Linked DNA regions of Struthio camelus. The protein of the gene in region 3 binds, or shares a complex with, the protein of the main gene of each other region. Links are inferred from orthologs where the notes say so. Each region holds a gene or a part of one and is shown on either strand. Other genes may lie near its edges.

The links. The genes of interacting proteins can lie anywhere in the genome.
Region 1: the proteins of DGCR8 (region 3) and ERH are in contact, whole or in part, in a crystal structure (PDB 7CNC), measured with the Homo sapiens proteins. The link is inferred for Struthio camelus from reciprocal best matches to the Homo sapiens genes DGCR8 and ERH. Residues at the interface, in NP_073557.3 of Homo sapiens: Lys107, Phe108, Ser109, Pro110, Asp111, Leu112, Leu114, Leu115; in NP_004441.1 of Homo sapiens: Val8, Pro10, Thr11, Thr18, Tyr19, Ala20, Glu27, Lys34, Met35, His39, Arg42, Met43, Phe60, Leu64.
Region 2: the proteins of DGCR8 (region 3) and DROSHA are in contact, whole or in part, in a crystal structure (PDB 5B16), measured with the Homo sapiens proteins. The link is inferred for Struthio camelus from reciprocal best matches to the Homo sapiens genes DGCR8 and DROSHA. Residues at the interface, in NP_073557.3 of Homo sapiens: Asn728, Ile731, Leu732, Lys734, Leu735, Gln736, Glu738, Met739, Lys740, Leu742, Ala743, Arg746, Arg750; in NP_001369437.1 of Homo sapiens: Leu984, Leu987, Phe988, Thr998, Tyr999, Thr1001, Ala1002, Ile1003, Gln1005, His1008, Phe1069, Asp1073, Leu1074, Glu1076, Val1077, Trp1078, Asn1080, Pro1082.

The regions. Positions count from the first base shown.
Region 1 is NC_090946.1:45,491,254-45,499,160, reverse strand, and holds the start of ERH (enhancer of rudimentary homolog), read right to left. Parts: upstream 3,088-7,907; 5' UTR 2,893-3,087; coding exon 2,890-2,892; intron 1-2,889. Other genes in the region: SLC39A9 (zinc transporter ZIP9), read left to right, coding at 3,269-3,372, 3,752-3,869. UniProt on the Homo sapiens protein: May have a role in the cell cycle.
Region 2 is NC_090943.1:91,265,872-91,273,394, reverse strand, and holds the start of DROSHA (ribonuclease 3), read left to right. Parts: upstream 1-4,436; 5' UTR 4,437-4,492; exon of another isoform or gene 4,493-4,505; intron 4,506-5,725; exon of another isoform or gene 5,726-5,837; intron 5,838-6,899; 5' UTR 6,900-6,906; coding exon 6,907-7,523. Other genes in the region: C2H5orf22 (UPF0489 protein C5orf22 homolog), read right to left, coding at 166-315, 1,503-1,648, 4,274-4,372. UniProt on the Homo sapiens protein: Ribonuclease III double-stranded (ds) RNA-specific endoribonuclease that is involved in the initial step of microRNA (miRNA) biogenesis.
Region 3 is NC_090958.1:11,505,756-11,513,610, forward strand, and holds the start of DGCR8 (microprocessor complex subunit DGCR8), read left to right. Parts: upstream 1-4,768; 5' UTR 4,769-4,944; intron 4,945-7,855.

The sequences.
Region 1 (7,907 bases), on a different chromosome or scaffold from region 3:
GTAAGATTTTTGAAGTATACATGTCCCTGACCTAATTAAGAGTTATAGATCACAGAAATTTTGTAAGCACGTTAGACAACACCATTCCATTAGTGTCAACTGAATCCAACATTTTCAATGCTAATAAGTGAGGTGAGCACACAGCACATAACATTCACGCTGGCAACTGCAGAGTAAGCCACACTGGAAATATAATTACTAAAACATATTGTTGGGTTTAAATTAATTAACTGCTGAGAGAAAACTCCTGACCCATGATTTGGACAGGACAGTTAAGATTCCAGTTCAGTACTCAGATGCAGAAAAATGGCAAAAAAGTTATTAGGATTTGCAAAGAACATATAGGAAGGCAGTAAAGATTTCTACACCACGATTGATAGTATTCCCATGCTGGGAATTAGTTTTCAGTTCTTGAAATGCTGTCTCAAATATCATGATAGAAAGAGATGGAAAGGAGACCAGAAAAAAGTGACACAAAGGAACAGAAAAGATCAAGACTTTTCCCCAATTAGAAACAGAACAAAAGGAGAATTCAGAGCTATGCACTAGAATAAAAATCATGCAAAGACAACTAGACCAGCTAAGTCCACTTTCATGTAGGTCACAGGACACTTAATTTGAATGGAATTCCTCAAGGGGGGGGGGGGGGCTGGTATCTGGCGGTTCCAAAGCCTGCTGTACTTAACAGGCTTGTCGTACTAGGGAGTCTAAATCATTCTGCCAAACTTTGATCAAGTTCTATTACCAGCAATATCGCATTTGTTTGCTGATCACTGGTGACAAGGCTTGGTTCTAAGACTTGTAACTTTAACTTCTTGGGAGCATCTGAGCACTAAGGATTCTCTATTAACAGTAATAAAGGAAGTGCTTCAGGCAGCTTAGGAAACTTGCTCTAAAACAGTTGTACTATTTTAGCATCAGAATGTCTTGCAAACTAAACTTATGAGATGTTTGATTCAGGTAGAGTTATACATATTTATCTTTTTCAACCAGGCTCAAAATTAAAGAACAGGTTGGGATTATTTCACAAAACCTAAAAGAGCACAGATAAAAGAGAACTGATTAACATTAAAAAATGATATAATAACTGACTGAATTATGTATTCTGTCTCTTGGTGGAGAACAATTGTAGGCTGTCTGGTGTATAAATACCCAGGCTATCCCTCCTATTCTTTAAACGTTAAACCATCGTGCATGTATGTTCTAACGTTATCCCAATAATGAGATTGCCAGGCATCTAAGTCTCTGATTTTAAGTGATTCATCACTTAAGACATTTTTCAATATCCATATCAGACACTGGCCTGGGGAATTATTATTCATGCTCTAAAAAGGCATATCTTTCAGCTTTTCTAAGTGCAAAACAGCAATACATAATGAAGACTAGTTTCTGCAAGCCACTAATAATAATTCTACTACACCCATCAAGAAATGAGCCTAAATTATTGCCAGTATTTTTTGATCCTGTTACTACTGACTTTTGTTTCTTCCTCTACTAGCTATTAATTTCTCATCTTCCCCTAAACTAGCTATTAATTTCTCATCTTCCCCTAAAAACCTTAAGGAGGAAAAGGATAAAAAAAATCAAAATATATATCTCAAATTTAAGAACTTCCCACATTTTTACTCTAAAGAAAAAAAACTTTTTGAATGATTTTATGAAATTGCTCCTCCTCTCCCTCCACAGGAGGGCCAAAGAATGACAAACTTAGAAGTACAAGAGAAGTTTCCTCAAACTATTAGCTGCCCTACTGAATACATGCTTAGGCGACAGAGGCCAAATCCAAGTTTCCTATGGGTATAAATCCTGTTGTTAGGAAAAAGAAAAGTGGTGGTGGATGATGCAGAAACCCTTGTTTAATCAGACTAGGTTATCAGGAACAGCCCAATAAGAACTCTTACTGTCCTGTTGCAGACTGTGGGTTTTCTTGTGCTTTCCTTTAAAGTGTAATCGAACTGTCTGCTGTTCAAGGAGACAGCAGAGTAGATACCACACTGGTTTACGTTATATGAATTTTAAACGTCTTGAGAGCTCTTCGGAACGTGCTTTAAGCACATTATTGAAGACATAACCCTGAAAAAACACTTAAGGCAGCACTGACAGGCAAAAACAGGGCATAGGAGTTAGTCAACATCTGTCCAAAGGCGCTTCTCGCAACTGTCGGGGCTATTCAACAATAAGGCAAAAAATGGAAAGGGAAGAGATGCAAACAGTGTGAAGGACAAATAAACAGGCATAGTAAAGTAAAGACAGGCAATATGCCACAAGCGCTCAAAGGACTTTCGGGTATTCCTGCTGGCCAGAAATAGCGGTTTAAGTGGCTTCCATCTTTTCACTTTCGACAACAGGACAGGGCTTGTAGCTGCTTGTCCTAGCAGGAACTAACTACCTGCCCAAGCGCTACACAGGCGGCCACAAGACTTTTGCCCTAAACCCCACAGCGCTTTTTCCACCAAAGCGCAACGTCTTGCTTGAGCAAAACCCACGTTTACTACATGAATGCGACAAGCTGCTACGACCAGCGGGCCGGTCCCGCAGCCCGCCAGCACGAGCTGCCCCCCCACCCCCCGCTCCGCTCCGCCGCGCCGAGCGGCAGCGGGGCGGCAGCAGCAGCAGCTCAGGCCCCCGAGGCCGCCGCCGCCCCGCCCGCCTGGGCCGAGCGGCGCTTCCCCAAGGGCCGCGGCCCGCCCGCCCTTTGTGCGCGCCGCAGCCGCGGCCCGCGCCCGCCCCGGGGCCCGCCGCGAGCACGTGCTGCCACCCGCCCGCCCCCGCCGCGGCCTGCCCGCCGCTGCCAGCCCGGGAGGGCCCGCGCCGCCGCCCCCAGGCCGGGAGGTAGCGGGGAAGGGGGGTGGGGGGGGGTGGCGGCGCGGCCGACCGGGGCCCGCTCACCATAGCGGCTCCCGCTCCGCAGCTCCGCCGCCGACTAAGAGGCGCCCGACAATTCCCCCACAAGCCCCCGCGCCGGCCGGAAACGCCTCGCTAACGGCCGACCATAGACGACGAGGTGCTAGACTGCCGCGCACGCGCACGGCGCGCGAGAGCGCGCTGCCACACGGCAGGGCGCGGAGCATGCCGGGAACGACCGCCCACGCCATGCTGGGCGGGAAGTGGGGGGGAGGGGGGGGGCTTGTGGGAATAGCTGAGGGAGAGCTACGCCGCGCCGCCATCTTTGGTGAGGGAGCCGCGCGCTTTCCCGCCTCGGCTCGCGCGGGCGGCAGGGCGGCCGCTGCCTCGCCCGCCATCTTGAAGGCGGGAAGCGCGCGGGGTGATGCGACGGGTGCGCCCCGGAAGAGGAAGTGCTGTGTCGTGGAGGTGGCAGTTGGCCTCCGAGGTGGCGGCGGGGTCTGGTGGGCGCAGGGAGCCCGCGGACTGGTGCGGCCTCCGGTTCCCTCCCGGCCCGGCCCTTCCCCTTCCCTTCCCCGCGGCCCCGGCCCGCTGTGCCGAGCAGCGTCAGGGCCCGGCGGTCCCCCCACCCCGGGGCGCAGGGCAGGGTCCAGCCGCCTCAGGGGAGGGCTGCGCCCGCCCCGGCCCGGGCTGGGCCGCCCCTTCTCCCCGGCCGTCGTCGGCCGCGGCGGGCAGAGCCGGGGCTGCTGCACCCCTGGCCCGGAGGGGGCCGCTGCTGGGGGCTGAGCCGACCGGCGCCGCCGGGCAGGACAGACATGGCTGAAGGCCTTTCCTGGGACCTCGGTGTCTGCACGGGTTAAGGCGTGCGGGGCGAGGTGGAAAAGTTGCTGTTGAATTTCACTTTAAGGGACTGGACAGAAAGCAGCGAAATGGATGATTTCCACTCCATCTGCCTGCTGTCTCTGGCCATGCTGGTTGCCTGTTATGTGGCAGGGATTATCCCTCTGGCAGTTAATTTTTCAGAGGTAAGACAGCTTCACCAAACTACTCGTTGGTTGCTACGGAAGAATAGCAGGAATTAGATGCAAAATCTACCACGAGGTATCAATGCTGTCCCGTTTCAACTGTGGCTATGCTTTTGTAGGTGCTCTTCTAACTTAAAAAAGATTTCTAAGGAAAACACGAGTGGATGTTAACCTTCACTGAAAATCACAGCATGAAATAATGTTTATTCAAAATCGAATGTAAAATTACTTAAATGTATCAAAATTTATGCAGGTCTCTCCGCTGCAGGTACAGGGAAGCCTCAGCATATGGTTGAAGAACAGGAGAGTAGCTGGGCATTGTTATTCTTGTAAGGAGTTTGTGTCGGAAGCTTCTGAAGTCAGACTAACTTTTGTTACGTGTCCGTGGACTGTTTGAGTCAGGGCTTCTAAACCAGTTCTGAAAATGTTCTCAGAAAATTGGTTTTGGTTAACTGTTTTGCTCATACTTAATATGAGGTAATATCTAGCTCTTTGATGATTACAAGAAAAATTTCAAGTCATTTTAATATTATTGACAACTCAAAGTATTCTTTTTGAAAAATATCTAGGATAAAAAAGATATTGTTAAAAGAGAAGGAGGCTGTTGTTACAGTCTCTGGAAGTCTCATAATATTCTCTGAGGCCTGTCGGCTTTTATTTTTTTGAAATGTTGATTGTTGCAATAAGGTGTAGTGTAGTGAAAGTTCAGTCATTATGAAGTGGTAAGAGCCTGGTTTCTCATTTCTACTGGATACAGTGCTGTTCTTGGAAAGGGAGGTGATGGAAAAGAAATGTTACCTGTTTCCCCATCACATCAGACCTCGAACTTATCCTTTAGTCTCATGATAACTAGTGCGGTGGAGGCTTTGGGGAGCAGTAGATTGTGAACAGCGTGGGAAGAAGTGTAGTTCTTTTCATTACAGCAAAATTCAACTGAATGATTTGAAACATGAGAATATATCCTGAGATCTTTACATAAAAATTAGGTTGACTGCATTAGCAGTGCTTCATCTAATGCTTTGATGGACCTTCTCTTAAACGTCATCAAGGCTGTTGCTACCTTCTTCTCCCTTTTTAAAACTCACTTTTACTCTGAAGCCTAGAAAGGACTTTCTTGCAAATTTGCTGAGACCACTACCTAGCATGTTAAATATTGTCTCAAGTTTTTTTTTTTTTTTAAATTTCCTCAGGAGTGTGCTTGCAAGTCACCTATTGTCTCTTTATGTTTGGTTATAAGTTCTTTGGCGATGACGTTGAATTGTTTATACAGTTTATACATGTCTGTACAGTTGGATCAGGGGACTCCTAAATCGCTAGGGGCTTCTGACTGCTTTGGATAGAAATCTGTTATAAAAGTTTTGTAGAACCAAAAATGTAGTGCTCTGCATAAACAGTAATCAAATACTTACCAGCCTGCTGTTATGTTTGCAGTGTTTGTAAATGTGTGCACAGTTTGTAAAGTAAGTTTATTGTGGTATCTTAAACTCTCAGAATTTCTTGACTCAGTTTTGTACTCGACTTAAATAGTTTTTTAAAGCACTCATATGTTGTGTTCATTTAAAAGAGGAGCTGAACCTCTTTGCAGATGTTTTTTGTGCAAATACTACCTAATCCTGGAAGTATCTAATTAAAAGTTAGAATTGTTTAAATAATTGACTGAGCATTTGCAGCATGGAACGTTTTAAACTAAGATGAACTATTTGGACTACACGTTCTCTGGTTTGCAAAACATTTTATAGCCTCAATGAGGAAAAAATGCCTTGTAAGGGTCGAAATAGGAAATAAAAATGAATGCTTTACATGATACACCCCGGATGCTGGAGAAAAAATTATTTGCTAATGTTAATGCATTTCTTCAGAAGACTTTTTTTGCTGTGGAACCTATTCTTTATGTTATTATTTCTGTCTTGTTTTCTGTCCTTTGAGTTAGATTTGAATTTTCTTAAAAGTATGAAACTCCAGCACAGCCAGGGAGAATGAAATATCTGTGGTAAAAAGCTAGACTGGGCAGAGCTTCACTTTGTTTGTTTATGCGGATATGAACCCATTTAGCTTAGTCCTGATTTGTAGTATAGCCTAACACTCTATTAGGCTAGGCTTGGGCCAGAAACCAGACTGTGCCTTTTCTTGAGGCTATCTCTTAAGTTGTAGCTCAAAAGCCAAAAAAAAAAAAATCAAGTTCTGGAAGTTTGGATCCTTTGAGTGTCTAACACAGTGTTGACTGAAGTGGGACTGTTTGCTACTGAAAGTAGGTGAAAGTTTTTGCTGGTTGTTGTCAGAGTTTCAATGCTACACAGATTTAAAGCAAGAAACTGACATCACTCTTGGAGAAACGCTGAGCTGTGGAACAGCTTGCTAATTTGGGAGTTTGGGGGTTTTTTTTGGAACAGAAATTTAAGATGTTTTCCTGTGAGGTTTTAACACAACTTACTCTGTTGTTGTTTTTCATGAGACTCATAAGTGTTTTGGTGACTAAATGGTTTGTTTTTAAAAGATGCAGCTTCTTGGACAAAACTAGAAGACTTTCACCCATCTGGGCGGACTGCAATTATTAGATGTCTGTATTAATCATCTAGAAGCATGGTGTTTTTTCTTGAAATAGTAATTTGTTAACGTGTGTTGTTTTCATGCATTTTTAAAAATCGCAGATGTCCAAATTAATGCACGCAGTACTCTGTATTTGCAGTCATAATAAAACAATATTACTTGTGACATTTTGTTTTTGGCTGTGTGTGTGTGTGTGTGCATATATATTATGTAAAATGAGAGATTATAGTGTTGCAGTATAAACATCATCTTATTGAGCTTTTGAGAGGTCATATTTTGGCAAAACTACTTTAAAAACAGTCAGTGTGGAAGATCAGCTATTTATATAGATTCCCACTGTATAACAACCTATCAAGTGTATTTGTCATGTGACTGTACAGTGTGTGTTGGTGGAAACTTTACAAGTATTTTCATCTCCTGCATATTACCCCTTGAATTTTCCCCAGTAAAGCTGTAAACATTTCATTATGGTCATGTCTGGCATGCATTTAGAAAGCTAGTTGTAAGTCCCTCCAGAGCCTGTGTTTCTTCTATACGAGGCTCATCTATTTCGTTGAGATTTATTGAACTTGCATCATTACAATGCATGAGGAGAAGCAGGGGGAGCATAATAAGGATATGCTATGAGCGGTTTCTTGTTACTCCAACACTGCACTCCATCTCCAGGTCCTCAGTAGTTAACTCTGGTATTTGGGCAGTGCGCAGACATCTGATTGTGCATTCAAGATGATGATGGTTCTGCCACAAAGTACGTGATACACAGTTGACATCAAGATCTGAACATCACTAGTTACTATGTGTGTTGTGCTAATGGCTATTACAGAAATGATCCTCTGGATAGGAGAGAAACTTGTCATATGAAGCAAGTTGATGTATTTTAGGTACCATTAGATGTTAATGTTACGGCATTTTCAGTGCATGACTTTGACTTTAGCCTGTCAGTGTTCTAGTCACAAGCAAACAAAAGTTAATAGTAAATTGTTCTTTCTTAGGAAAAATAAAATTTAGTCAAGAGGTACTGCAGTCGAGGGAGTACTGATCTCTTTCTAGGCTTTTTGTCCAGAGTTAGACAAAATCTTAGAATCTTTCTAGAAAGGCGGTCCTTACTATTAGTAGCAACTGCTTACAAAATCCTTACCTACTTTTGTTGTTGTTTAAGCTTGTTGCGGAAACTTGATTTTCCTGGAATATTTCTAGATTACACTGTAAAAATACTAGGTTTACATAATATTCTTTAAGTTTTAATTACCAATTTGCAATGCTTAGATTTTACAGTAGATTTCAGTTTTAGCTATGTTTGCAGAGCGGAAAAGGGAGTGCCATGATCTGTAACTACCTAGAGTGGAATATCTGTTTGTATTGCCCTAAAATGTGATAAAGAAGCTCTTTAAATGATTTATATAATTCTGATTTTGAACCTATTTTTGGGACTCAGTCCTGTCTGTCATATTTTGTAGCTACCCGTCATTTTGAAAATATTATGGTGCATAT
Region 2 (7,523 bases), on a different chromosome or scaffold from region 3:
AGAAATAATTTAAGACTTGCCTAGATTGAATGAGAATATCTAGGACTTTAAGGCACAATACTATCCAACAACAGTATCCAAGTTATCCAAGAATACAAAATTAATCCCATGAAAAGCTACATAGCTAGCTTTCATATTACTAGCGTATGGTAGTAGGCAGTTTACCTGATTGTAGTTGTTGATATGTCTTTCCCAATTAAAAAATCGTGTTTTCCTTCTGAGATCTGCTGAGCCCAAGGTGGGTGAAGCCATATTACTTGAGAAATATGGCCAGCGTAAACTGCAGGCATAATCCAGTTCTCAATACTTAATTCACTGGAATGAATGAAGAAAGACTGGAGGTTACACTGTTAGCTCCCCTGTAAGTAAAACACGGTCAAGAGCACTACAAGTATCTTCCATATCTTGAAAGTACACACACAAATCATCTGAAGTAAGAACACTGTGCACAGGTCACATGATCAAAAAAGTAGGAGGGAAAGCTTAATTCATAAGAAGAACCCAAAACGTCTGTAGCAGAACGAAAAAAAAAGGATTATAGGTCAGGGTCAGCTTCACTCTTAGTAGGCTTCTTTGACTATAAACGACATGGATTTGTTGCCCTTTCTCTCTTGATGTATCAGACAGAGGAAAAGTGCAAAGATCATGATCAACACTATTTTAGACAGCTCTGAATTGACCTCAGAGTATTTTGCTGTCAAGTACTCTAAACAGGTTTTAAATATCATCTCAGTGCTGAAAAGCAATCAATCAGCACCTACAGAATAAAAATCGATCCTTACTATCAATATGCTATCTCTTTAAGCGCACAAAACGGCTCCCAAAGTTTCTTATTTATCCAACAAAAAAAGTAAGATATTGACTATTGATAGAATGACACAGCTACTTACGTACTAATTACATCATCCTTTGATTGCTGTGAATCACCATTCCATACTGAAGTAGTCAAGAGTCATTTTAAAATGGGAAGAGAAAGACAATAAAGGTCACTCTGTGCCTTGTTACCTTCTTCAGAAGTTGGGGTAAAATATTGGTCCTCATGATATTAATGAGAAAATCTTGTTCAACTTCACACATTCAGCATGTCACCACAGATGATGCTATTGCAACCTCAAAGCAGATTTTTCAGACTGAGGACAGAAAGGCTGTTCTAAACCTACAGCTCTTCAGATCAAAAGGATCAGCACTTAGGAGTACTGTCCTGTTATCCAGAGAAATAACCTGGCCTAATAACACGACATACTACTAAACAACTAAAAGTAAATTCGCAAGTCTCAGGTTTTCTTGATATGCAACATAAATATTTGACCACACTCATAAAGCACACACATAACTTCCTCCCCACAAAAAAACCAAAGTGTTCAGCAAAAGTGAAAGGATGGAAGACACAACTTGGGGCTGCTTTACACCTGCTGTATGAAAAGTTAAACGAATACGGACTGTAAATCAAAGGTAGCAAGAAGTGGACTTCAGGTATTCTGATGCAGTACACAGGACTTTACCTAAAAAGAGCTTCTTTGTCAAATACGGTGTCTGCTGGCATATTTACGGGAATAAGGAGGTCTGGATGGGAGTCAAGATGAACAAAGCTGATGTTACTGGCAGGAAGGTGCTTTGAACCAATGGCGCGATAGATGAAAGGCAGAACCTAAAACAATACGAACAAAAATATTTCAGTTATAACCAGCAAGCTGAAAAACGCAATGACGTTAATAGCAAAAATACCAGCCCCTCTCCTCTTTGCTTCTTTTGAATTTGGATTATTTCTTGGGAGAAGGAGAAGGAGACTGAAAACAAAGGGATACCACTCCAACAGCAAGACAGCCGAAGAACCGTGAATCACTATGAACCCAAGAGTTTCATACATGGCCAGTTGCTGCAGAATCATAGCTTTACTCTTTCTTTTCTTCCTTATAGGAAGTCTTGTTTGTAGTAGCTCTTCTGATTAATAATTTAATACACTGCCTAGTTTTTTTCTTTTCAACTGATCCCCAGAAATGCCGTCTCTCTTCCGCTGAAGATTACCCCCTACACTTCCTTTTCCATGCTATAAAGCTTAGCCACAACCTATGCATGGGGCTGCGGAGATACAAACTTCTGAAGCCCCACTAACAAAATGTTAACTGATACAGGGTGAAAACTGACCCGGCTACCATTTAAGCTTTAGCTGATCTTTAAACCTATTCCTCTGGAGAAAAAGTTTAATTCCCAATCCCTGCAGGACTTAGCGGCTGCAATGAAAAGACTACCTTCCCCAGCTGCCCACTTAAAAGTGAGAAAAGCAGATGGGTAGATGTGTCAATTTACGGCATAACAAAGCACTGATGTGCAATACTGTCAAGTGGGATGAGACAACTGAAGGCTAATTCACGATCCTTCTTACACTGAGCTGCAGTAGACGGAGCTTCTCCCACAGTTACAGGCCGGTAACTGCCTTAGCTGCCAGAACAAATCTAGCAAGAATTGTGAACCAGATCGCTACTATACAGGGAGCATGAAAACTATAAAAAGACTGGGCAATATAAGCTACACGGGATCTCTGTATTTAAATGCAAACTGAGCTACTTTTTAAGCATAAAACTGATTAAGATCACAAATCCTGAATAGTGAGTGTACATAACCATAAAATCTGACACTTAGTTGAAATTTGGATTGTATTTCACCAGACCGGCTATAAATTCTCAGTTTTCCCACTACTTATGCAATGATATATATCCTACTGTAATAATAGATAAAAATAAGGTTGAAAATAACAGTGATTCTCTGATCTATGATTTCCAGTTCTTCACAAAAGGCAAATGGCCTACCTGTACAACCTACAATGTTGACAGGTGAAATTAGTTTAATCTCATGGAAGTGTTAGCGCAAATTCTGAAAACAGAGCAGGATGAGGGAGGAGACAAAAGCCTAGAGTCCCTTACATTGCAAGTTCTGCTGCTTTGGGTTGAGAACAAAATTCCCTTCCCGCTAGCTGTTATTATTAATCAAAGCATGGTGCCTCTAGTGTCATCTACCCCCAGAGAAACTTCAACGTCAGTAATTCATCTGGACTATACATAGTTTCTGGGAAGTTCTTACGCTTTGAGGTAAAAGCCTATACACGTTTTATATAAGACAGATCAATGTATATACATACATATATTGAAAGTACAGCATATATATTTGGTAGGAAGAGTCTTTGTTAACCTAATTCAAAAGAGAAGTACTGAAAGCAAAATAAAGAAGAATTATTAACAGACATTATCTCAGTACTTCTATTACAGTGACACTCTTAGTCCGTGGTTACTGCAGAAAACCAGCCACCACAGCATCAACCATTTCAGCGAGTCTTGGCAAAAATAATCCTCATTAAATTATCTACTTTCAAGTTCAGAATAACGTTTCCCTTAATAAACTGTATCACGCTAGTGCTTTTGCAAAACAGCAATAGAGTTAATGCTTTTCATTTTTTTCTCCACCAGTTCTTTATGCCCCAGAAATGCTTGCTGAAATTAGTGGGCTTTTGTGCCTTTGGGTAAAGAATTTGCTTACTTTGGATTACAGCCTCAACTTGTGCTATAATAAAGAAACTCTCTGAGAAACCAGAAACAGCACTTCAAAAGCAATCCTTTGCAAAGGATTGCCTTTTTAAACTAGCTATCATTAAAAACAAGCAAACAAATAATATAAAGCACCAAATTTGACATCTCTCAGCTACTGACAGTCAATGTGCTGGTTAGAGTGTGCCTCATACGTTGCGTAGGCCTGAGTTTCTAAGCAGTACGCTAGGACCTAGCTAATTCCAGAAGCAGTAAAACGTGGGTGTTATTTTCTTTTAAACACAGAAACCATGGGGGAAAAAAAAAAAAAAAGAGAAAGAGAGTGAAATAACTACTTAAAACCCCACCAGCCTGCCCTAATGGCACCAGCTACATGCATCACTGGATCACGACGGGGCTCCACATCATCTGGACACTGAACTTCACTCGTGTGCCACTAGCCAGACCGGCCCGAGGAGGCTGGTTTTCGCGCCCCCAGGGCAGCGGGCACGGCTGGAAGAAGAAACCGAGAAAGACAGAAAAGGGTTTGTTTTTTTTTTTAACCCCCCCAAATACCCACGGCCCAGAGAAAGGCCGCGACCCGCCTCTCCCCTGCCGCTACTACCCGAGGGGCGGCCGGGCCGGGCCGGGCCGGGACCCCGGCGGGGGGGATGGTGGTGGGGCCCCGGGAGGCGGCTGCACCCGCTGAAGTGACGGGCCTGGGGCTGGGCCGGGCGCGCCGCGCACTCACTCACATCCTGGTGGTCCTCCACCACCCACACCGGCAGCACCGGGTAGGCCCTCCGGCCGGCCCCGGCGGGGCGCTCCCCGGGCGGGCGGCCCCCACCGCTCATGTCACGGCGGCCCGGCTCCCTCCGGGTGGCGGCGGCGGCTTCCGCCCGCGGCGCCCCGCCCCGCGCCTTCCTCTTCCGGAGCCGGCGCGGGCGGCGGCGGCGGCGGCGGCGGGGCAGCAGGTGGGCTGCGCGGGTGCGTGCCCCTCCCGGGCCGGGGCGAAGCAGCGCATCGACCGCCGCCGTGGCGACGTGGCCCCGCGGGCCGTTGTGATGGCGCAGCCCCGCTGGCCGAGGGGCGGCCGGGGCGCCGCGCGGGGCTCGGCGGCGGCTGGCGGTCGTTGCCGCTGCGGTGATCGCCGGCCGTGCGTAAACCTGCCCTTCCCGCGCGGGCGAAACTGGCGCCGTTTGAGGGCAGGCGGCGGGCGGTGCCGGCCCGGGCCGCCCTGAGGGCAGGGCCCCGTCGCGCCGGCCCTGCGCCGGGGCGGGTGTCCGCGCGTGTCCGTGTCCGTGTGGCGCAACGGGTTTCTCTTTGTGGGTGGAAGGAAGGGCATGACTCGTCATCGGTTTTTTCCCACTGAAGTTCAAAGCGAACCTGAACGCGGTGAAAAATTGCAGCAGCGGGAGCTTTAAAATAACCTGAAATAATTTTTTTTTTTTTTTTTTTGCCTTCCCTGCTGCCTTTGGCTCTGCGTTTCGGTGCGTTCTGAAGTGCTTGAACTGTGATCGCAGAAACCAGAGGAAACCTCTGAAGGTGCAGATAAGCTCGGAGAGAGCTGGTAAAGGAGACCTTTTGTTTGAATGCACTGGCACGTGTTAAGAAGAAACGTGCCTTACGTTAAGGCACCAGTACAGTACAGTACAGTGGGTTTCCCTTTACTTCATTCAAGGGGATAAAAGATTGGCTCAGCCTGTTTAAATAAAATTTGTATGTAAATGTCAGCAAAGCACAAAACAGTGTACTGGCAGAAGCCTGCGCTAGGTGAGTTATAACTGCTGACCTGAGGAAAAATGGTCCAGCGTTTAATGGACTAGAATTAAGGATGACAGAAAGTAGCGCTGCTGCCAGACAAACTCGTGAAGGTGTGGAGTAGATTTTTTTTTCCCTGTCATTTCTTTTTGAGACCCTTTAAAAGACCTGAGGGTACTGAACAGACCGGGGTTGCCTGGAAGGAATCAGTCAGTGGCTTTACATGTCTGCTACCTCCTAGAAACGTGTTGATCCGCCCTTATCCTGCTGGCCTTTGTTGTCCACTTGCTCAAACGAGGGAGGAAATGCCCCACCACCACTTCCAGTGGCTTCAACCAAGCCCTGAGCATGGGACGGGAGACTTGGGGTCCTCCTGGTACCTCTTCCTCAATGTGCATCCTTTCCCCCTGTTTCATTTCTTTTCCGTTTTTTCCCTTCGGTTCACTAGCAGAAGTCTGGCATCAGTCAGCAAGCTTCATCCTTTGCAGCGCTGGGACCAGAATGCAGCCAAAAGTAGTACTCTGAGCAGCCCACGTTTGCCGGGTTACAGGGTAGCAGGTGGGAGACTATTCCCTATGTGTACTTCTGCATCGGTAAAGCCACTGTAAAAAGGAGGCTTTGTTTTCTGTGTCTGGTGATCTTTCCGCATACGTGTTTATGTGTCTCTCTCTTATAGAGAACAGGATTTGACATTTGCAGCTGCAGGATCAACTGTTTTTTTCCCCCTCTCTCCCTCCCTTCCACCCAACATATCATTGTTGATGTTTTATTTTAAATATTTTTTCCTTTTTCCCAGTTTTTGAATTTTGAACATTTTAATGAAAAACTAATTTTAACTTCAATATGCCACAGCAGTTTTCATTTTTAAACTTTAATACCGTAGTACATTACATACAACACATGCTTTTGAGCAAGACTTCAGCCCGCTTAGAGCAGTGCCTATTGCCAGCAAGGTAACACGGCCAATTAGGTACTTCAGGAATTTTGAAAATGTTTGTTTATTGAAATTGGAACAAACCACAGTCCACGTACGTTTTTGTGGGTCACAGTAAATTTTTATGTACCTAACTTTAAAATATCTGTTGAATTCAGTCCTGTACGAAATTGGGACTTAACTGTGAATATAAATTCCCATTATCTTGTTTAAGATTTATGTGATTTTTTTTCACTGGACCAGGCAACTCACGATGGCATGTTAGTAAAGTTGTTCTACCTGAAGTTTAGAATAGTGTTCTAGGAAGAACTCCTTGATGTAAGACCTTGGATGACTCCTACCTTTGTTAAAATGAGCGATCTCTTTGGTGTGGGTGTCTGAAGACTTTATATTAAAGCATCCATGACCATGAGGGTATGGTCCCACCTGGATTCTGGATTAGAGGCAGGAGAGTGCATTAGTGGATTAGAGACTTAGGGGAATCTTGGGGGAATAATGACCTGTACTACAGCACTGAGGAGCACAAAGCTCACAATGAAAGCCAGTGGTCGTCATCTGCTGCTCCTATTAAAAGAAACTGCAGAAATCATAATTTAAGCACTTTGTGCATTTCCTGGAACTACTTCCAAAGAACCTCATAGAAAAACTTTGTGACACTGTACATTTATTTATTTTCTTCTTTAAAGGTGAGCCATGTCTTTCCATTCCGGACGAGGGTGTCCCCGCGGCCAGGGGGGACCAGGAGCACGAACTTCAACACAGACCTACCGACCTCAGAACCTACGGCAGCTTCACCCACAGCAGCCCTCTGTGCAATACCAGTATGACCAGCAAACGGCCCCTCCGACAACCTATTCAAACCCTCCAGCCACTGGTTACATGCCTCCCAGGCCAGACTTTGTGCCGTATCCTCCTCCAGTGCCCCCTTCCACACAGAGTCCCATCAGCCAGTGTCCCATGAGGCCACCTTTTCCAAACCATCAGATGAGGCAGGGTTTCCCAGTGCCTCCGTGCTTCCCTCCCGCTCCTCCACCAGTGCCAAATCCTAGCAATACTCCTGTGCCAGGAACTCCGACGGGGCAAAACACATTTCCTTACATGATGCCGCCCCCGACAGTACCGCATCCTCCCCCACCCCCAGTCATACCGCAGCAAGTCAACTACCAGCCTGTTTACTCCGCAGGGTATTCACAGCAGTCATTCCCCCCTCCGAACTTCAATAGCTATCAGCACAATTCCAGCTCTTTCCAGAGCAGCGCTACCAACAGCAGTGGCGGCAACAGCCATTTTCGGCACACGGGTCAGTACCA
Region 3 (7,855 bases):
ACCTAATTTAATGTGAGCAGATCTAAGCTTCCTTTCTTCCCCCTCAAATTGTCTTCTAGCTTAGTCAATGTGTAATGGCAGTGCCCAGTTTTCTGTCTAACACCTGCTGTCTCCATTTAAAAAATTGATTTATCATTCTCTGGTGAATGAGACGTACTACATCTCAAAATTTGGAGAAAATCCCAGCCTTACTGATGCCACATGCCTTAATTATAAGCATCTAACTTCACTATCTACATGGGAAATCTAAGCTTTTTTTAATATAATCAATGGGAAGGCTTATCTACCTCTCTGAACACTTAAGAACCTGCTTCTCTCCTTTATGAGCAAACTAAATTAGATGCCTGAAGTAGGATGTCATGAACCTTCTGAGGATTTGTGAATAAAGTCTGTATAATAATGTTTCCTTAGGGAGCTGGACGTTTAGTTTGATATGCACAAAATTCAGACCAGATCCAAATTAGATAGTCATCTGTGTTATTTCAGATGCCTCTGTGGCACATAAATTATTCCTTCCACTCATACTTGAAGCCTGAGAAAAATCTCACCGAATTCAGTAGAAAGAATCTTGCTGGATGCTGATGTAGTTTGAATTGTGCCCTTAATACAGTTAAACATAGTACAACTTAAAGAATTTGCAGCACTTCCTTATACTACTACATAAGTAATTTTCCCATTAATTATTTTGGTTTGTGGATTATATTTTAAATTGTATTTTAGTTAATTTTCTGCGCTTGAGAGGTGTCTCAAAGAGTTCCAATTTATGTAGCTTTATCTGGAGTGGCCCTTGGAAGTACAGAAATCTCAGTCATGTCCGCTCTGGGCCTTGATGTGCCTCTCCAGTATGCCCAGGTGCCAGGGAAACAGTTTATGCAGAATGATTTCTCTGCTGAAGTTCGAAGGGTAGTTCTTGTGGAGATGGAAAAGTCTGTATAGCAATTAGTCTGGAATCACCTTCTCTCCCTCACTGTCCGTGGTGACTGAAATGTGAGTACTGTATATGACAAACCACTGAAATAGCACTTGGTTTGAAAATTTGTCTGCCCCAGTAACTCCTTATTAGGGAGATTTTTTGGGTTTTTTATGCATATCCAGATCTTTGCAGTGTGACAATTTGCACTCAGAGTGACTCAGCTCTGTTAATCTGGTCATTATAGCTTCCATGAGGTTGAAAATACATATTGTTAAATACATGCACATCTGTTTCATACCTCAAATATATTATGCCTTGATCAGTAAAGTGTCTGGAAGGATAGGTCATTAATTTGTGTGTGTTTCACAACTTCATGAAGTGGAATATATTGTGGTAAAATACCAATTGTTTTGCCAAAAAAGGTAAGTATTGCAGGATGAGCAAAATTTCTCTTCCAGTATATTTTCCTTTTGGAAGGACACAGTATGAACTGCATTTGCTGACACTGTTACTAGTAATATGAAAAAGACACTGGCTCCACCTAATCTTCATTCTGATGAATGCAGTCTGCTAACTTTATTAGGAAATCTATAATTAGTTTTTCTTGTGGGCTTAGTTTCTGTAGAGTGTGTGTGTGTAAGACAGCAATTGTTTCTGTCCAACCTTCCTATATCTTGGATATGGAAACTTCCTTATTCTTAGGAACTGATCTTTGTTAATGCTAATGATAGTTCCCGATACTGCTGTAGATTCTAATTGCACAAGCTCCTCCGTACAGCTGGACCGCCCACTTTAAAAGTCTAGATGGAAGATAGTGTTTTTGTGCACGTGTCTGAGAAGTTTTATTTAGAAGTCCAGAGAATAAAAACTTTCAGGTGAATTTATTACTTGTTAGATGTGGCAGATTGGACTTAATTCTTCAGGATTCTTTCTCTTGTTGAACAGATAGAGCAGGGCAAGGTTTGCGATACTCCAGTCCACTTTTAACATTTCATGCTAAAAGCTGCCAATGCATGACAAGCTTAGTCTCTGAGTTAGGGTTGGGAGTGTGCTCCACATCAGTTGGTCTGACCTATGGGGGAGGGGGACAAGGGGGCTTTAAAAGTTCTCTTGTCTCTCACTAAGCTGTGCCTAGTTACTGCTCCTGTTTTTGTGATCCTTCATGTCTGTTCTAATGCAGTTTTCCAGTGGGAACAAGACTGAAATCTCCCTAATGCATTTATTTCAGTTTGGTCATCCCAGAGATGCAGGAGGTCAACCTATTTCAGTTGCTGTTGACCTGTTGAGAATTGAAGCTGGAAGCCTGGGTGTATAGGAGTGACCTAGCAAAGATGTACATATGCTGTAACTGTTGAGATTTTTCCCTAACAGCAGTATGTGGGCTGTGGGAAATTAGTAAGTAGGTTTTGTACAGATGACCAACCTCAATGCTTTCCGTATGTGGTGGATTTCCCCCCTCTTTGACTTTTGAAGTACTGGGCTTACAAAAGCGTTTGTAGAAAGTGGTCCTCTCTCAAAGTAGCTTTACTATACTTGCACCGAACACAATTTTAGCTTTTTTAAACAGGTTTGAGATAGTAAGTCATACAGGTCTTCTGGGTTAAAGACTTAACCATGATTTTAACTTCATTGTTTTGCTGAAAGCATTGTTTTATACTGTATTATTAAAAACCTTTTGCTTATAAAAGGTTAGAAATATGTTTCCTTGTATATTGTCAGTGTCTCAAAGTATCAGCTGTTACATTAAGTATTAGTTAAGTTAGGCATTAAGTCATAGTATTATGTTTCTCTGAAAACTGATGCAAAATGGAAAACTAACATACTGGTTGCTTCTGTAATTATTTTTTCACTTTCAAAGCACTGCATGCATTTTAATATCTTGTATCTCTACATGAAAATCTGTTTCTGATCCTAACTCAAATGTTGCAGTTTGTGTACATGGAAAAAATTATTGTACATTACAGAAAATATCACAAGTTACTTTCAGTGCAAGTTTCAGTTGTATACAAGTTACATCAGGCAGAGGTAAATGAGTAATGATACTTGCATGTCCTTATACTCTTTGAAAGGGACAATCCTTTTGTTTTCTGTCACGATGTTAGCAATTTATGAGGTGACATGATGCAGATAGTTTACAGCAAATGTCAACGTTAACACATTCTATGGTTAATGACTTATGCTTTGAAGCTTGAAACTCAATGTAAATGGTTGTTTTGCAAGCCACGGGTATTTCTTAAATATGCATTCTGAAGTAATTATTTTAAAATAAATAAAAGTGGTTGTCATTTTAAAACCACTCTAAAATACTGGCTTGAATGCAGAAGCCTGTAATGATGAATTAAAAGATGTACTGCCTTCAGTTTTTGAAGGCAGCTGGCAGAGATGCCAACCAATTTCAGTAACCATGTCATTATGTACCAATAATAGCACCATGGCATTATGTCAGAATAAATACCAGAATATCATCAGATATGTTAGTCCAGTCAGACAAACACAAAGGTAAAAGCCCTAACAGAAAATATTAGTTACAATTATCTTCCCTAACTGTATTTAGGGACCTCAAAGCCATTACGTGACTGATACATTGCCTGATTATCATGCCCTGAAATTGCTTGTAGAAGCAAACAGAAATTGTAATAGTTAATGCAAGTGATTAAGCCTTTTGATGCATTATTTTGTTACTGTTTTGTTTTTCCTATGATGTTGATTTCAAATCAGTATTACAGTGAAGAGGTAACCCGGTAATTTAAGTGTATCAATATGGAGTTACTGTAGTTCTGTATTTTTGTGCCTGAAAACTACAATGAAATGTTAGTTATTCTGTTAAGTACTTGGTACATATGGCAGGAAAGACGGTCCTACGTTGATTTCTCCTCTTTAAGATCAGTTTTGAAAGGGTAGTGCTGTAGTTGTGTTACTTGGACCTAAAGCAGCATCAGAAGGAAGCAATATCTATTCCATCAACCAGCTGATGATGCATTTGTGTGGGGGGAAACAGTGACAAGCTCTGAGTGTGCACATTCCTTCCATCAGGCCTGATAGAAAGCATCACCTCTTCCTCACACCCTGCTTCTGATCTAGTTTTCCTATTTTGAACAAGAGCAGGTGGGCAAACAGAACTTTAAGAGAGCAAAAAGCATAGATACATTGGAGACATTCAGCTGTGTAGCCGTACTACCCCATCTCTCTTTAAAGCAAAGATAATGGACGAATGAGGTAAGAACGGGGGAACGGACACCCCCCCCCCCCCCCATTGCTTTGTACATGTAAGGAAAGGGAGGAGGGGAGAGAGCACAGCTGGAGCATGGTGTACGTTTAACCCCTTCTCCGAGGGGCCTTCTCCCCTCCCTGTACAGGGAAAGGGCTGGGGCTTGGGGGAGCAGCCTCAGGCTCGGTCCCCAGCCCCGGTGAGCCGAGGCCCGGCCAGCCGCGGCCCCGCTCCTCTCCCCACGCCTCAGGGCCGCGCCCGGCTCAACCTCTTCGCCCTCCCGTCGCCTTGGGCCCCGCTCTCGGGGCTTCCCCCCGCGCCCCGGCACAAGCGCAGCGGCGCTGCGACCGCCTCGGGGCCTTCCCGCGGCGGCGGAGGCCCTAGACAAAGAGCCCGGGGCGGCCCAGCCTGCTGCCCCATCATGGCCGCCCGCCTCTGAGGACGCGCCCTCCCGCCGCACGCACCACCGCCTCCGTCCCGCCCCCGGCCTCCTCTCATTGGTCAGACACCATGAGCGTATGTGTCGCTCGCGCCTCTATTGGCAGGGCGGGCTAACATGCCCGGGAGCAAACCAATAATTATCGAGAGTTCAAATTCGTGACAGCTGAGACGGGCAAGGCAATTGGCTTGCCCGAGGGGCGCGTCCCGCCCGCCGGGACCGCAGCTGCTCGGAGCAGGCGTTTAAAGATGGCGGCGGAGGCGGCGGCGGCGGCGCGAAGTGGGAGGCGGTTTCCGTGAAGCGGCCGCGCCAGCGCTTCCCCCACCCCCATCCCCAAGCCGGGCCCGGGCAGGAGGAGCGGCGGGGACCCCGGGAATGGCCCAGGTGGGTGCCGGCCCGGCGGGCTGCGCCGCCGCGGAGGGCGGGCACGAGCGGGGCCTGCGCGGCCCAATCGCCGCCGCGCGGGCAGTAACCCCTGCGTCCCCGCGGGCCGGGGCGCCGCGAGCAGCCCTTGCTCGAGCCGCCGAGACAAAGTCGGCGCCAGCCCCTGCCCTGAGCGGGCACGGCGGCTCTGCCGGCGGGCTGCCCGCCCGCCGCTCCTCCCCCGCCCCTTCCCTGGCGGCCGGCGCTTCCCTCGCGCTCTTTCTTTCTCTGCCGCCTCCCTGGAGCTGCGTTCAGGCTGGTGGGAGGAAAGGAAGCGCCATGTCTCTCTGTCCTCCCCGCACATCTCTCCTGTCGCTGGTGGGGAGTGTTAACCTGGCCAGGCTTTCTACCATCTCGTGTTAGGGTGCAGGGCGGCGGGGGTGGAAGGGTTTCTCCTGTGCACCTCTCTGCGCGCAGGGCGGGGGGGCCCCGCAGGGGTGAAGACTCTCATCTATCCTCCCATGCGAAGTTGTGAAGAAAACGCAGCCGCCGTCCCCACCACGTGTGTGCACACCCGTTCCCTTTTTTTGGTCCTTCTTGCAGATTGGGGTGGTGAAGAGAAAGTTGCGTGTCTTCCTAGCCCTCGGGATTCTTCTTCACGTGCTCTTTTTATTCATGGCGAAGTATAGTATGTTTTTTTCTAAATTGCCTAATTCAGTCTCTGAAAGGTTTAGGTTCCTAAACTTTCTTATTTTTCACTGGAAAAATAAAGGTCTTTCCTTTGCACCTCTTTGTCCTTAGCGTGGATTAATGAAAGAGGGTTTTCTTTTGATACAATTTCAGAGTAATGACTCTTTCACAGTAGATTCTCAGTTGTCTTCTCTTTAGTAATCCTTTTCGGACACTTCCAAAGGGAAGTCTTATTTTAGTGGAGATTCAAGGAAAAAAGGGAATTCTTCTAATTCTTCTTCAACTCCTTTCCTTTTTTTTTTTTTTTTTAATTCGTGATGGGTAGGAGAGGAAGGATGTTACTCGCATTTGATTATGCTTCCTTTCTGAATGAAGAGAGAGCCTGAATCTGCCAGCTATATTTCTACACCTAGTTTTCGATACAATGGCCGTTCCATTGACACTAGGTGTATTTGCAGCATCTTTTTGCTGCTGAGAGGGTGGACTTCCTAAAATCAGCTAAGAGACAGTTAATGCTTTCCTTCTGAAGGTGGGATTGAGAGCTTGCTGAGTGAGCTCATTCATTCTCATTGCTCCATTAGGTAGAGACCTTAGAGTTAGTTCTTTAACTTTTCTTTCATGAATATTTCTCTTCTCCCTTCTGTTTAGGTAACTTAAGCATTCTTTAATTCTGGGTGAAAATTAGCTCGCTAGTTCTCCGTGTAGTTTTTTTGATTGCTAGGATTACTTTGCTTTTTGGGAGAGCGAGAGGGGAATTTAGTCCGTTATGTCTGTTGTTTTTCTTCATAAGTAAGAAGCCAGTTGTTAGGTGAATGGAAGCACGCGTTTTTTTTCCTTTCTAGCCTCTGAATTGCATTTTTTCCCCTAAAACTGTTTCCTGTTTCACGCTGTTAATTGAAACCATCTAAGCCCTATCAGAAAATTGGTCAAGCTGTAAGTGCAGCAATTGCTTTGCCATTTACAGAGGTACCTTTCCCACATCGCGTACTCTGGTGCTTCAGAAATGAGACGTAACTATGCTGGATGCAGCCTTATGAACGAGAATTCTTTAGCCTTGTCTACGTTTGCTCTAGATAAAGTTATGATTGGGCCTCTGACTGGCTTTTCTGAAACTGCCTTGATGGCTTCCACAAAATGGTTGCTTTCTTCACAGTCTTTCTGTGCTAATGCTGATTAATATGGAGAGAAATAAGCTTTTGTATGTAGTAGCAACTTATGGAACATGTTTGTTTGGAACTTCCTGTTCTGTTTTTATGGAAAGAAAGGATTCAGTCTCCTTATTGTTTTGTTTTTTGTTTAGTTGGGTTTTATTCTAACACTTCATACTTAATAAGAGCAAATTTATTCTTAGGACTTTGAAGAAGTCCCCCCTGTGAGTGCGGGATTGCTTTGACAGGGATCAGGATTGAGTGGATTTTTAAGCAAGATCAGTGCATCATAACTTCTGCTCTGCAGAATTAGCCTTTGGAGCCAGAGGATGAGAGAGAGGACTTTATATTTGGATAGCAAAAATAAGGAGAGTTTGCTCAGAGCTACTCTTTCTTTTGGGGTCCACTGACTGTGAAGTTAACAGTTTCTGGCAAGAAGCTAGATTTTTTTTTTTTTTTTGAAACTGTTTTCAGAAGACAGAATCCATGATATGTTGTTCCTTGTTGCTGATTGCAGCTACAGGTAGTCATGTTGAAAATCTGTTCTGCATTGACCTCACTTCAAAGACTACTGAAATGCTATTATGTGAAGAGAGCTCCTCTTTGAGCCTGGGCAGTGCTGGTTACAAATTTTAAGATTCTGTATTTGTGTTTTCATCAAAAGAGATACCCTTTTGTCTGTGCACTTTTTTTTTTCTCGATCCATCTGTTTAGACGGGGAGAATAGGCATTGGTACTTGCTAAACAGAGAAAAAGCTATTTTGCTTTTCTTTCTCTCTTCCAAAAATGTAGATTTATAAGATAACTGAGCCAAGAGGAGGAGCTTCAGTATACTGCTTTTATTGGGGATCTACTCCATTTGCTACATTACGTTTGGATGTCCGCTGTGTATCTAATTCTTTGAGTTTACTTTTACTTTGTGATATGAGACCTTTTCAAATGATGTGCTAAAATGTGGACTTTCTGTGTACTGGTGGTATCTGCAGGATATCAGCTGTGCCTTCATATTTTCTCCAGTTAATCCGGAGTTCCTTCAGTGTTTGTACAACTGGCTGTTGTAGCTGTCAGAAGTGTTCCATATCTTTTTAAGGTTA